2 linked regions of the Callithrix jacchus genome follow. The main gene of each other region encodes a partner of the protein of the gene in region 2 in a complex. Links are inferred from orthologs where the notes say so. Each region holds a gene or a part of one and is shown on either strand. Other genes may lie near its edges. The genes, in order: TUBG2 and TUBGCP5.

Region 1 (2,572 bases), on a different chromosome or scaffold from region 2:
GCAGATAACAAACCCACGAATTTCTCTGGCACAGAAAAGTAACTCAGGATGTGCTCAGCCCCACTCTTGAATTCTGCTTCTACTTACCAGGTTGGGTTGAACTAGAGTGAGTTCCTGGGACTCTCATGGCTCTGGGCACTGGGATTCCAGAGTCCCGGCTCTCCTGGCCTGCTCGGAATGCAGTGTGCCCTCCTTCAGTAGACCCCACCTCCTCTGCCCTGAGTGGAAGAGGCTGGGGCAACACTGACCTTCACTGGGGCAAAAGCTTAGGCACTGAGGAGACAGAGACCCCACCTCCTCTGCCCTGAGTGGAAGAGGCTGGGGCAACACTGACCTTCCCTGGGGCAAAGGCTTAGGTACTGAGGAGACAGCAGACCTCAGTAAAGCTCTGTAATCTTAGGGCTGCCTCTAGTAAAACAGCCCAGTTCAAGGTGAGGGAGGCCAGTGGAAAGTGAACACACTAAAATCTGGACTAAGGGGTAAGACGATGGAGGAGGTGAAGGCCACCCTATGTCAGATGCCTAGAAACTGGACCCCTTCACCACCCCCTGTATTCACAGATCAAGCCCTGGCTATACTGACAACCAAGCTTTATTACTTTAGTAGAGCTGAAGAAGCATATCAAGAGTCAGGGCATGGAGAGAAGAAGCAGGACCAGCTCATGCGCTGGAGATAAGCCAAGAAGGGTTGTCCATGAGGTGAAGTTGGGTCAGAGGGTGCAGGCATGGTTGAGGCTGTGCTTCCCGTCCAGGAGTAGTAGGGAGGGAAATCACTGCTCCTGGGTGCCCCAGGAGATGTAGTCTGGCTGTGTGGCGGCATGGTACTCATCAATGAGCTCCTGAACAACCTCCCTAGACCTGTCCATCTCGTCAAAGTTGTCCTTGAACATGTCCTCCTTACGGAACTGCTCAAGGAAGGCATCCCGTTTCCGCAGTTTGTCAAACTGCTGGCAGGAACTTTCAAAGAGCTGAAAGAGACAAAAATCTCCAAAATGCGAGCCGGGGGTTAGGAACAAACTTGGGGAAGATGATGAAGGTGACCAGTGGAACAGACTGTCCTACTGTCCTAAGAACAGAAACCCAGACTCACCGAGGAGATGCTGGTGTGGTTGGCCATCATGAGCCCGCTGACCCGGTGGGCCGAGGGCAGGTACGGAGACTTCCTCGACAGGGCCACCTGGATACTGGCGGGCCCCCATGGGATGAAGTTGGCCAACTTCCGTTCCCGGATCCTCTGCAGGCTCTTGTGGACCTGGGGTAGGCACAGGAGCAGTGGAGTGGCCTCTCCTCTACCCCTGTGGGTCCAGGGTATGGGATGAAGGGGCCTCCCCTACCTGGGTGGGATCCACCTCTCCCTGGATGATGTTGAGGATGGCGATGTAGCAGTGGTTGGTCTGGCGGTCTCGGCCTGTGGACACCATCACATTCTTGGGCTGCAGGAGCCGCCTCATGACATCCAGGACCGTGGTCTTCCTCACGCTGGCCACCTGATGGACAGTGAAACGGGGACCCAGCCAGGGCTCAGGACACAGTCCCCCTTTTGGTTTCTCTTTGGCAGAAGCCAAAGGCAGAGGGGAGGTAGAGAGCAAGTCAACAAGAAAGTCGCCTGCAAAGCTTCTGGGGCAGAGAGGAGGAGAGAAAGGCTAAGGTAGGGCCTGCGGGGCCCAGGGCTGGCCTGGCCTGGGACACTGAGGCTGCTCTTACTGACTGGTCCGTAGTGAGCGGGGTATAGCCGGTCATGAGGAAGTGGAGCCGCGGAGTGGGGATAAGTGAGGCGATGAGGCCGATGAGGTCATTGTTCATGTAGCCGGGGTAGCGCAGGGTGGTGGTGCTGGCTGACATGATGGTGGACACCTGGGGACAGGGGTGCCATGTCATAGGCCTCGGCCTGAGTGGGACCTCCCTTCCCCAGATGACCCTCCAGAAAGGAGGGCTTCCAGTCCAAAGGAGTCCAGCAGTGGGGGCCCACCAGCTGGTTGATCTGGGAGAAGGACGGGTTCTGGATGTGCAGGCGGTCTGTGGCAATCCGGTTCAGGGCTGTGTTGTCCAGCACCACCTGCGGGGACAGCAGAGGGTCACAGCTTCTTGAGGAGAAAATGGGCATAGAAATAAGATATTGGCTTAACCCCTGCTGAACTCCAGATCCAGGAAGAGGTTTATTAGTTTAAAACAAAAACTGCTGGGCATGGTGGCTCACACCTATAACCTCAGCCCTTTGGGAGGCTGAGGTGGGAGGATCACTTGAGGCCAGGAGTTGGACATCAGCCTAAACAACACAGCAAGATGCCATCTCCATAAAAAATATAAAAAATAAAAAGAAACAAAAGTACTGTCTCTGGGGCATCATGAGATACTCTCGGACCATGCAGGGCAGTAAACAAACACATGAGTATCCACATGTGCGTACACTGCCTGGCTCTGGGAAGACCACAGAGAGGAACAGGCACCATCTTTCCCTTCATTAGGTCTGCAGTCTAGTATGGAAGGAGGTGCACTAAATATAAAACAGAAAAGTATAGTTAACTCCTAGAAATACACACAAAGGAATCCCATCTTGACTGAGTATTCAGGAA
Region 2 (3,824 bases):
AAGGGAGGTCATTTCACTTATGTGAGCATTGCATACACATTGCTACGCTTTCAGAACACTAAGGACTTAAAGTTACCCTTCCTGATGCATTCAATGGATAGCTATCAATAGAAACTGCACATCTAAATACACTACATCATTTAAAATTGTGTTAAAAGACTACAAATAGCTCTAATTATAGTTTATATGATTCTGTTCAGAAAAATTAAATAACTGAAGGGAAATTGCCATAAATGGATTAAGATTTTTCTTAATTTTTATTAAATATTATAGTAAGGTATTAGTTGAATTAATTCACTTCAGAGAATAGTAAAAAAAATTATAGTAAGGTAAAAGAAATGAGTAGCTAATTCTGACCAATAAATGTATTAGAGGCATATTCTATAGTATTTCTGTATGTCTTTACCGATACTTTACACTGGAAATAGCGGAAACCATCTGATATCACCTAAACTCATTTTATGGGAAGCAGTGTACAGTAGCCAGCCATAGATACACTATCATCCAAAAATATAATTTGCTTAAAAGTTGTGAACTGCTCAAGCCTGTAATCCCAGCACTTTGGGAGGCAGAGGCGGGTGGATCACGAGGTCAAGAGATCGAGACCATCCTGGTCAACATGGTGAAACCCCGTCTCTACTAAAAATACAAAAAATTAGCTGGGCGTGGTGGCGCGTGCCTGTAATCCCAGCTACTCAGGAGGCTGAGGCAGGAGAATTGCCTGAACCCAGGAGGCGGAGGTTGCGGTGAGCCGAGATTGCGCCATTGCACTCCAGCCTGGGTAACAAGAGCTAAACTCCGTCTCAAAAAAAAAAAAAAAGTTGTGAACTGACAAAACCTGGACAAAGATATTAATAATCGGCTGGCATTACTGACGTCTTCCATAAAAATGAAATAGAACTAGCCTATGATGACGACAAGTTTTGTGATATGGACTATACTTTCTTAGTACCGTAATGAAAGATTTGATTTTCACGGGGAGCAAACTGGTGACGCCAGCCGACCTTGTGCTCTGTGCAGCTCACCTCTGGATGATGAACTCCCTGGCGCCGTCCCACAGGTGCCCGTGCACGATCCACTCATCCACTGTCTGCAGGTAAGGCCGCACCGTTTCCACCCAGAGAAAGAACAGGAGGGAGACCTGAGGCAGAGATTGTGCACGGTCAGCTCTCAGGGCTCCCTGGCCACTAGAACAGAAGGAGGTTTAAACATTTCTGAAACGCCTTGAAATTAAAAAATCCAAAAACATATGCTTTAAAATCCTTATGAGAAACTCACCTAAGTATGGAAGGATCATATTGTTTGCAGTCCAGACTGGGAAACTTGAGTGAAAATGACACAGAGGCAGGTGTGACCTGAGACAGCCCTGGCAGGTGAGCAAGGTTTCCCTATCTAAATCGTACTACTAGCGAGGTGTCTATTAAGAGTGAGGAAATTACTTAATTCCAGTAGCTCTCAGACAAAAATGGCAGTGCTGAGAGAAAATCAATCTCTTTTATATTGAAATGCAGTATTAAATTGGTGAGAAAAAAAGTTATACCAACAAACTGGAAAATACACCTGATATACATACCCAAATAAAACTGTAGCTTTCTAAATTACAGCCTCTAGATAGATTTTTAAAGCTATATATTGTTTGATACAGGGTCTTGCTCAGTCTGTCACCCAAGCTGAAGTGCAGTGGTGCAAACATGGCTCGCCAGAGCCTCAACCTTCCACACTCAAGCAATCTTCCTGCCTCAGCCCCTTGAATACCTGGAACCACAGGAATGGCTACTACTCCATAGCTCACTAATTTTTTGAGACAGAGTATCACTCTATCGCCCAGGCTGGAGTATAGTGGCATGATCTCAGCTCACTGCAACCTCTTGGGTTCAAGTGATTCTCCTGTCTCAGCCTCCTGAGTAGCTGGGACTATAGGTTATCGCCACCATACTCGGCTAATTTTAGTATTTTTTGCAGAGATGGGGTTTCACCATGTTGGCCAGGCTGGTGTCAAATTCCTGATGTCAGCACACCTGGCTACTTTTAAAATTTTTTGTAGAGACAGGGTCTTAGTATGCTGCCCAGGCTGGTCTCAAATTCCTGGGCTCAAGTGATCCTCTCACCTCATACTCCTAAGTAGCTGGAACTACAGGCATGAGCCACTGTGTCTGGTCTAGATTTGTATTTTTTAAATACAATATAAAATATATAACATAAAAGTTATCATCTTACCTATTTGTTTCTTCTTTAAATTTTAATTTAACTTATTTTTTTTTAAGGACAGGGTCTCACTATATTGGCCAGGCAAGTCTCAAACTCCTGGGCTTAAGCAGTCCTCCCTTGGCCTCCTGAAGTGTGGAGACTATAGGCATGAGCCACTGTGCACCGCCCTCGCCATTTTTAAGTTCAGAGGTTTTAAGTACATTCGCATTGTTGTGACAAATCTCCGGAACGTTTTCATGTCGTATAACTGAAACTATGTACCCATTAAATAACAGCTCCCTCCTCCCCAGTCCTTGGTAACCACCATTCCACTCTGTTTCTGTGAATGTGACTACGTCAGACACTTCCTGTAACAGGCTTAGTGTTTATGTAAGGAAGCGTTATTGTACGTCTATATACCTCGGCGAGGCATGTCTCACATGCTGCTTTGCCCTCGCCTCATCCTTTTGAGGGTCTTGGCAATTAGAGCTGAAAAGTTGTTTCTTACAGCCTCAAATTTGGAAGCTAATTTGACAACTCTGAACTGTCCGACAGGTCACCATTCCAGTATCATTAAGCACAGAACCATGACCAGCCGTCTCCCACCCCTGTGCTGTGCAGAATGGAGTCACGCACTTTAGGCAGAAGTCTCACATACGGTTTGCTCAGAGGCCTCTCCAACATTGTCATATTCGAGGATGGCCTTGTACAGAGTGTTGAGCAGGTGGGAGGCCCGGACGACATTTCGAGTATCAGGTGGAACTTCTGCTACTCCGGTACTAAACACTCTGTGCAGAACCTTGAGCTGAGCCAATCGAGGCGACAGCTTGTCCACCACTATTGCAAGAGTTATTGTAGCATCTGCAAATATCAACAGATCAAACTCAATAGCAAGGAAAAATACATGCATGTAAAATGTGACATAAATGCTGGCAAATCATCAGGTTTATGGGCAGGCAGGGAAAATGAAGGATGGTGGATTTTGATTGCACATCACAAGGACCTAACTTCCCTAAGGAAGAACTCCTGCAAGTCATGGAGAAAAAGGTAACTCAGCAGAAAAATATATAAAAAAACTGACAGTTCACAGAAAAGGGAAGATGAGGGGTTCTAAAACATACAGAAAGTCAAGCTACCTTACTTATAATAAAAGAATGCAAATTAAAATTATACTAGGTAAAACAAAACACCTCCCCATGGGCCAATGTTAGTGTAGGAAGCTGTGCCTAGAGAGGGCTGCACAAGCTCCTGTGAGGCGACGGCACAGCTGGGACCTCAACATGGAAGTCACCATGTGGAGCTAGACATGTGATAAAACGGCCTGGAACTATACACGAAGATACTACACCCACCCCTGCTCAAAGCAAGTTCCTGCAACAATGGGAAACTGCGTCAGGTCTGCGGCTTGGCTAATGGGCCACGCCAGTGTCAGTTTCCCACTTTTGATCATGTACTATAACTATGTGAGGTTCTGCTACCGGGGGAAGTAAAGTAATGGGAACACAGGACCTCTCTGTATTATTTTCTGTGGTACTTCAAACTAAAAGTTAAGGGTAAAAAGCTACATGGGTTACCACTTTACATCTGCTATAATCTATAATGATGAGGACCAAAACGTCTGACAACACACGGATGGC

Evidence for each region.
Region 1: TUBGCP5 (region 2) and TUBG2 share a complex: the UniProt entries of both Homo sapiens proteins name them as parts of the gamma-tubulin ring complex. The link is inferred for Callithrix jacchus from reciprocal best matches to the Homo sapiens genes TUBGCP5 and TUBG2.

What each region holds. Positions count from the first base shown.
Region 1 is NC_133506.1:121,223,400-121,225,971, forward strand, and holds the end of TUBG2 (tubulin gamma-2 chain), read right to left. Parts: intron 2,056-2,572; coding exon 1,969-2,055; intron 1,854-1,968; coding exon 1,704-1,853; intron 1,487-1,703; coding exon 1,334-1,486; intron 1,252-1,333; coding exon 1,090-1,251; intron 968-1,089; coding exon 770-967; 3' UTR 574-769; downstream 1-573. UniProt on the Homo sapiens protein: Tubulin is the major constituent of microtubules, protein filaments consisting of alpha- and beta-tubulin heterodimers. Gamma-tubulin is a key component of the gamma-tubulin ring complex (gTuRC) which mediates microtubule nucleation.
Region 2 is NC_133507.1:1,837,897-1,841,720, reverse strand, and holds part of TUBGCP5 (gamma-tubulin complex component 5), read right to left. Parts: intron 3,049-3,824; coding exon 2,846-3,048; intron 1,323-2,845; coding exon 1,279-1,322; intron 1,188-1,278; coding exon 1,026-1,187; intron 1-1,025. UniProt on the Homo sapiens protein: Component of the gamma-tubulin ring complex (gTuRC) which mediates microtubule nucleation.